2 linked regions of the Drosophila melanogaster genome follow. The protein of the gene in region 2 interacts with the protein of the main gene of each other region in a pairwise test. Each region holds a gene or a part of one and is shown on either strand. Other genes may lie near its edges.

Region 1 (4,955 bases), on a different chromosome or scaffold from region 2:
TTCGTTGTAATTATTAAAAATGCCGTGGATGTTCCATTGTAATATAGTAATTGTCATGATTAAAAATTTTTTTTTTTTTATTTATTGTTTTTTGTTGGACTGTTATTAATTTGTGGTGTGTGTATATGAAGGTAAGGGTGAGAGGATCAGGACTAGGAATCGGGATCGTCCATAGTGTCTGAGTCTGTTGTGTTGATTTTTGTTTGTAGATTTGAGGTTTGTGAAGCAATTGATTCGTTTGAGTTGGATCTTGAGGTCATTAACGTATTGTTGTCGTCGTTGTAGGTTTGTCCTAATAGAGCGTTTGCTTCCGCCCTAAGGGAGCGAGATCGTTCGATGCATGTTTTTTTTAGGTAAGAGAAATCAGTTTTGTCAGAGGTGCTTGGGGAGGAAGTAAGATTCTCTTCGAGATTCAAAGAGTTCGTCCGAGAAGTGGGATACGTTGGTGAGAGCGGAGCTGGTACTTTTGTCGAGCTGGTGGGCAAGTCGGTGTTTGTAATCGTGTTAGGGTTTCGGGATTTTTTGACAAGCATCACGGATGATGTGCTTTGGTTTGCGACGGTCGAGTAGGTAAGCGTGGGGTTATTTGTTGTGTTTTGTTGTTGTTTTAGTATAGTGCGAGCTTCATGGAAACTGCATTTTTTGCTTGTTTTGATGTGGAGCAGTTGTTTTTGTGTTTGGTATTGTGGGCATTCGGGTGAGGAGGCTGGATGTTGGCCGGTGCAGTTTGCACAGAAAATGCGAGTGCATGGCACGGGAAGGTGGGGAGCGAGATTGCATGATACACAGGCAGGTGGGTTTTTGCAGTGCTTTGATGTGTGTCCTAATAATTGACAAGACTTACATCTCATCGGGTTGGGTATATATTCTGACACCTTAACTGTGTGCCAGGAAACCGTTAGTTTACTGGGAAGAGTGAAACGGTCGAACGTTACGAGAACTTTTCCAAAAGGTTTGGGGGTGCCGTCGATCATTTTGGTAAATTTAAATACGCTGTGTACATTTTGTGATTTTAGTTCCTCAACAATTTCGTTTTCTGGAATGTTAATAAGACAGGGAGCGTAAATGGTGCCTTTGACAAAGTTAAGAGTGTTGTGGAGCTTGCACTCGATATCGCATAAGCCAGGTAAAGAAGTCACTTTGATAAATTTGTCACTAATTTCCCTGGAGTTAACCAGCAAGAGAAGGTTACCATCCCGAAGATTAGAGATGGATGTAATGTCTTTGCTGATATACTTAAGGGCTCTATGGACAGCAAAGCAGTTGTAGTCGGATATGGTTTTCGGAGAGTTTTTTGATGAGACCACTAAATATCTCGGATTTTTGCACTGCGTTTCAGGGAGGTCTGGGAAATCAACTTGTAATTTTTGATAGGGTCTTTTTTTCTTAGCTTTGGGGCTAACGCTGAGACTGGCAAAGCGATTATCCCCCAAATTGAGTGGCCCGGGGGCCATGGTTAATAAATTTATGGATATTGAATGTTTTTGATTTGCACGTACGCGTTGATAAGAAGATCAAGAAGATAAGATGATAAATATCAATGTAACGGCGATGGTAATTACGCGATAAGCAAAGCTCACACAATTGGAAAGACACAGACGTCCGCACTCGAAGAGAGATAGTCGGTGACGTTGCAAATATACACCAGTACTTTAGCTACATTATTTTGGTGTAAAGACTTATGGACTTGGTAATCGTAGAAGTACTGTCGACATTTTTCTAACTATTTAATTTTGGCTATGCATCCTTGGATCCTTAAGATTATACCCGTTACTCGTAAAGTAAAAGGGTATACTAGCTTCGTTGAAAAGTATGTAACAAGCAGAAGGAAGCGTTTTCGACTATATATAGTATATATATATTCCTGATCAATAGCTGAGTCAAACTGGCCATGTTCATCTTACCAGGATGGTTTAGATTAGGCATACAGATTTAAGTTTGTTGATCCATATTGCAACGCCCACAGTCTTGCCAAGTTCTACCGGTATACCAAAAACACTTTGGCCACGCCCCTTCTCACACCTACAAAACGCCCAAAACGGTCACGCCCACACTTTTAAACAATTTTTAAATTTTTTCTTTTATTCTCCAATATCTATCGATACTTCAGAAATATGATGAAATTTCGTGTTCGCATTTCCACTAGTTGAGTAACGGGTATCTGATAGTCGGGGAACTCGAATTTAGCAACTTCTCTTGATTTTCATCTGTGTGGTGTTAATTAGTTTTTGTGTGAATTTTAATTACGACAGTTAAGCCTGAGAGCCTGAATAATGTTTCCATTTTGCTTTGTTGTTGTATACACGTGAAAAGTGTGATGCTTAGAATTAAGAGGAAACTCAAGTTTTACATACATACCTGAAAAGGTAAAAGACGGAAAAGGTGATAGATAAATTATAACAAATGGCCTTATGAGAAGGTCTTTTTACTTTAATAATAATTATTATAAAAAGTAGTTGTATTAGGAATTAGTCACCTAAAAAAGGTAGCATTGCAGACATCAGCCACATAATGTAATCTTTTTTCACATTTTGTTCAATATAACCTTTTAAACATCGTACACAAATCCCACCCAAATTATTTATTAATTAAAGCGATTCCAAAACATATATACTTTAGAAGAACAAGAGTTTCTGCCCCTTGCATTATGAATTTCGTCATAATAATAATAAGTATTAAAATTGTTATGCCCAAGTTATGCGGAGACACGTCCCAGTGAGAATGGGGAGAATTGGTCGAGGAACTTGAATTCCCTGAACAAATACGCGTACATAGCAAAGTAACCCCGTCATATCTCATCACTATAGTCAAAACATATTTTTCATCACCTCTCACCTGATCCACATTGTCCTCATCCGGCTCTTTGCAATCCTTCATGTCTGCTACTTTGCCCGGCTTCACATTTTGCGGAACAGCCCTTGAGTCCTTGACGTGGCTGATGGTCCTCTGTGGGTTAGGCTTACTGTCGACGCCCTTGATCTTGGAACGGCGATTGCGTACGCCACTCGAGGTTGTTGGGCTTTCAATCAGGACCGTGGAGCCAGGACTTGCCGGCGAGGTCCTACGCTTGGACGTCAAGGGCTTTGGAGTTTTGGACATTCGGGCGAATTTGTACTGAAGTAAGACTCAATGAAGCAGAGGGCGCCGCCTCGTAAAGAGCAATGAACTGCCCTTCCATTTACGTTAATACCCTACGCGTGTCCTTCTCTTGATAAGGTCCATAGAGTTACCCATCTCGGGACATAAGTAATCTAATTATCGGCCCACCGGGGTGGGAACCTTAAAGTGTCGCCATATGGAAAACACCTTCTTCTCTTCATTCTGCGTAAAGTTTGAACAGTAAGTACTGGGCAGCAAACCACTCTGGAGCTAAACTATTCCCAGAGCCAGATTTTAAATCGTTTATTTTCGACAAACCGAATCAAAATCAAATGGAAACTGCAACGAACAAGCGCTCTTTACGTATGGTAAAAAATTCAATTTAAAAAACACCTGTCAATTGACTCGATTTACGTAACTGGAGGGTGGTCACAAAGTCCTCAGTACAACAATCTAATATGCGCAGGATAAGTTATTTATTGAGCCTTGAGAGTCGCGGAGGGTGGATTGGGTGGATAATAGTTGGGCGCAATGGCCAGTCAGAGATATGCGGTCGTTGGCTGCAAAGCCGCAGGGCGTTGGGGCTTAAGACAACCAGAGGTATGACCATTAAGTTTCCCGTTTGTAAGTGACAAGCAATAATGGACTTGATTTAGGGGTTACCACACATGAGAAATTCATATGTGAGAGTAGTGTTGATTTATAGTGTTTTAAATTAAGAATCAGGCATCTTAAAGCTTATAATTATGTACTAGTATGAAATAAATAACACACCATAACCATAAACGTACGAAATAAATTGTTCTAGTAATTTCCAGTCTCTGTTTTAAAAAAAGAGAGAATGCTATAACGAATTCCCCGACTATCAGATACCCGTTACTCAGCTAGTCCAAGTGGGACCGAGAATTATCAACATTTTCAGGAATATCGGTATAAATTGGGGGAAAAAATTATTATTTGAATGCTCTAAGGTGTGAGTGGTTTAAAATATTAGGTAACTGCAAGGGTATATAAGCATCGGCTTGCCAAAGTTAGCTTCCCTTCTTGCCTTTATACGAAGCATTTTCAAAAAATAATTCCGCGACCGAGCCGACTTTGTTCTTGACCAATATATGTGTCCTAAAATGGTCAGGGGTTAAGCACCTGAACTGGGAGTTTCCCATAAAAATCTATTCACAACTAGCAGGGAGTTGGTTTCCAGGAAAAGTTTTAAATTCGAATTTGGAGGTGAAAGACAAAGCGAAATCATAAACAGGCATCTCTCCTTTCACGAAGTGCCAAATAAAAAGTTTTTCAATTTAGATTTATAAACCAACATAACGTAGGTAATTGCCGCACAAAGTTGCCTGGCGTGTTTAAATAAAAGTGAAGCGGGAGATGTAGCGCCCAGTCCTCTGCGCCTCGAAGGAAAAGTGCTTCCCGTGCTCGAGGATCCAAAACATTTCAGCGGAATTGCAGTGCATATAATTTTCGCTGTTGCGTTTTAAAGCAGCCGCTGCCTGATACACCAAGAGCAATGCCCGTCTTCATGGCAGTCTCTCTAACACAAAACTCCTAGCTAGATATTCTGATCGTGGCCAGCCAGCACCCCTTCCACACAGGACCTACCGAATTTGTATCTGTTGGGGCACTGAGTGCGGTTACCCGCTGACAGACATTAGCACAGCTTATACATACCTCCGGCACCCAGCTCCGCTCCACTATCTCCCCCTGCGTCTAATGCATCTGAAAATTGCGAAAACTTCTGGCAGAAGGACCGCCGGAGATGGGGAAGGGGTAGGTGCACTGTGTATATCTGTATCTGTATCTGGCAGATACGAGCTACAGTTATTTTTATAAACTTCTCGCTTTCGCCT
Region 2 (3,540 bases):
TTTTATACCAAACTTAAAATGTTCATTCTTTGGTAATTTAAGCTCCCTATGGAATAAGAGAGGCCACGGAAAAGGTGGAGAAAAAGGCTAGCGTAAAGGCCAACACTAGAAGTGACAGCATGGTGCATTACCCATCAACGTCGCACTATTCCTTGCAGAGTCTCTATGGGGATCTTCTCGAGTTCTCTGCGAGGCACCTAAAACTGGGAGGACGTCTTGTCTGCTGGATACCCTTTCACAGCGAGGACTACGACCCGAAGATGCTGCCACAGCATCAGCATCTGAGCCTGATAGCTAACTCTGAGCAGCAATTGACTGGGAATACAGCTAGGCGGCTACTCACCTATGAAAAGTGTTTCGAGTATAGTCCAACAGAACCCTTATTGTGCAGCATAAAACAGGTGCCAACGCCCTCGCAGGACTTCAGGGATCGGTACTTTAATAATGCTCTGGAGTCACGCAAAGAGCGTCGAATGCGGAAGGCAGAGCTGCGGGAACAGGCTCGTGTGGAGATGAATGCACGGGGAAAGATTCCTACGGATGGGCGCTCCAAAAAGTGTGACCTGAATAAAGCTCGATTTATGTGATCTCCATTGAAGTGTAATTTATAGTAAGATATAACTTCGATTCGGGCCAAATTTTTTGTTGGCTGTGTGTCGCTGAGTTTTCTTGTATGGCATACATTTCGAAGATTTTGATTCAGATTTGGACAAAAAAAAAAATAGATAAATACGATTGACAATGAGTCTATATATGTATATAGTTATAATGTTATTTTAATATTTTATGAAATACATAAATCTAGTTTACAAATTTCCATTTCGTAAAAGTTGAGATAACAGAAGGCCAGGAAATATGTATTGATGCATAATTTAAATTATAAATGTTGAAATAAACTTGGCGGTCCTTTATACATCATATGTATCCAAATAACCATATTATCCGATTTCAGCAGAACTTGCTGGTTTTTTGGCGTGTTCCTGAAGGCGGCATTCGAAAACTTTAGCGAAACTATTGAGGAGTGCGCCACTGGCCTCCTCGACAGGAAAATGTCTGTCCAGCTCTTTGCTGAGCGAGGTGACCCCCTTGCCTTCGATTCCGCAGGGCACAATGTGCTCAAACCACTGCAGATCCGTGCAGCAATTGAGGCCGATTCCATGCGTGGTGACGTAACGCGAGCCGTGGATACCGATGGCACAGATCTTGTTGTCACCCACCCAGATACCGGTGTCCTTGGTCGCCTTGGCACTGGAAATGCCCATCTGGTGGCAGGCCTCGACAACCATCCGCTCCAACGTCGCCACGTACCAGCGGATGCTCGGCACGAACTGACCCAGGTGCAGAATGGGATAGGCCACCAACTGGCCGGGGCCGTGAAATGTGATCAAGCCACCGCGATCTGTGCGATGGAAGTCTGCTCCTAGCCGGCGGAGTCGGTCTTCATCCTGCGCCGTATAGTCCTTTGTCCTTAGTCCGACTGTGTAGACCGGGTCGTGCTCCTGAAGCACCAGGTAGTTTCGGAACTCCGCTGGCGGATTCAGGATCTGGTTGGACCTTGCAAGACGTTGCTGTAGCTGTAATCCTGCTGAATAGCTATGCCGCCCGGCCCGCACCACGGTCACCAGCGGTCGGACAAAAGGCATTTTTTTAATTGTTTAAAAATCATTTGACTGCAACGTTTAAAACAACAAATATTAACCAGGGCTGCACGATCAGCGGGTTCATCAATATATGTATCTTCAAAAACGGCTGATTGGTGGCAATGGAAAAGTTGGCGAAATTTGTTTTTTTATTTGAGGAAACTTCGATTAATAATCCAACAGTTTAACAACAATTCGGAAAATACGTTGGAGGGAAATCTTTCGATAGGTTACTACCAGGGTTGGTCGAGGGCAGTTAGGAAAATGGAATTCCACCCATCTGGCAACACTACATTTGACGTTTGCAATAAAAAGATATAAAACTCTTACACACGGACGCTCTGCGAATTATTTAGAGTTTGGAGTGAAAAAGTGGGCTAGGGCCACAGAAAACCAACTACCTGTCACCTGCGATTGCAGCACATCCGTGACAGACTCGCTGCGGTGAATACATGGAGCACGCTTGAAATTCCAATAGGCGAGCGGAGCTGGTGCGCAAAAAGCATAGGCCCCATCGCAGGACATGGCGACTCGTCAGGACGACGAGATTGGAGGGGGCAGCACTGAGTCTGCACCCTTTCGCGTCCTGCCCCACACTGACGAAGTGGGCAACTACCTGGCCCACCAACAGCAGCAACAGCAACAGCAGCAGCATCAACATCAAACCCAAAACTATCTGATCCACCAGCAGCAGCATGGACAAGCACCTGTCCCGCTGATGTGGCCACCTCCACCACCGCACCTAGCCGGCCCCCCATTTGCGCCCCATCTTCAGCAGCAGCAGCCCCACATGTACAATGAGTATCTCTTCAATCTGTCCTACTCCGGTCAGCCAGGCCAGCCAGAGACCTACTCCGTGCTGCCTGTGGGACCCGGCAACTTTCTCAAAGTGTACCACTGCCCGGACAACCAGGTCAGCGAAGCCGGCACCCCACTCTTCACGCATATCAACATGGCCTCGATTAATCACCATCAGCTGCAGCACCAACACCAGGCCGCTCCGCCGACACCTTCGCAGCCGACTCCACTGTATGAACTGTTTGCCACAAATCCTTTGACTTTACCACATGCACAGCAGCAAGACGCCCAGCATCGACAGCCCCAACAGACGCAGACTCAGGCCCCAACAGTGTCCCAAGTCAATCACTCGTCGAGCAGTGCTAACCTTCTCATTAACAACCTTGTAAACAACTGGTCGCCCAATTTGACTGGTGGAAGCTACATTCAATTTGATGGCGAGGCCAACGAGATGGACGTCGTTCTCGAGACTTCGATAGCCCAACAGCCACAGGTTCCTAATCAGAACCTGCAGCAGCCTGAGCCACTGTCGCAATCCGTCAATACACTGCCAGCGGCTTCCAAGCCAGCCAAGTCTCTGAAAATGCCTTTGGCCACTGCCACCGTTTCACCAACTGCCATCAACAAGTCGAGCGTCGCCGTGCCTGGCCAACCCGAAGGCAAAAAGCGAATCGTGGCCGAGGTGAAGCCCATGCCCATGTCGTACTCCGATGTGCTCAGCAAAGGCACAAAACCGAGTGCTGCAGGGCGAGATATGCGCGCAGACAACGGTGGGGACTACAGTGTACAATCGCAGAGGCGTCCGGAAAAGGAGGATGCATATGGAAATCGCGAGATGCGGACGTCAAAACGTTCACCGCTGCACGATGCCAAGGAGACGGGTTCGTTTGTGCCCGGTGTTGGTCATGCGCATGCCAGCCGAGGCAAGAAGCGAAGTAAAGTCAGCCAGACCGCGCCGCTCAAGGTTCAACAGTCTCAGTCTCTAGCACAGCCAAATCTACAGCCGCAGATTAAATCAAACAAACTAAATAATCCGGAAAAGAAGCGGCCACTGCAACCGAAGAACGTAAATAGCAACGCCCCTAAGTTTTCGGAGCATAAG

What was found.
Region 1: the proteins of Lipt2 (region 2) and SPoCk interact in a two-hybrid assay, tested with the Drosophila melanogaster proteins (one large-scale study listed by BioGRID).

The regions. Positions count from the first base shown.
Region 1 is NT_037436.4:22,758,121-22,763,075, reverse strand, and holds the start of SPoCk (secretory pathway calcium atpase), read right to left. Parts: upstream 3,100-4,955; coding exon 2,836-3,099; intron 2,288-2,835; coding exon 2,267-2,287; intron 1-2,266.
Region 2 is NT_033777.3:4,435,465-4,439,004, forward strand, and holds Lipt2 (Lipoyl(octanoyl) transferase 2), read right to left. Parts: upstream 1,866-3,540; 5' UTR 1,644-1,865; coding exon 939-1,643; 3' UTR 758-938; downstream 1-757. Other genes in the region: CG1074 (uncharacterized protein), read left to right, coding at 43-587; CG14650 (uncharacterized protein), read left to right, coding at 2,164-3,540. UniProt on the Drosophila melanogaster protein: Catalyzes the transfer of endogenously produced octanoic acid from octanoyl-acyl-carrier-protein onto the lipoyl domains of lipoate-dependent enzymes. Lipoyl-ACP can also act as a substrate although octanoyl-ACP is likely to be the physiological substrate.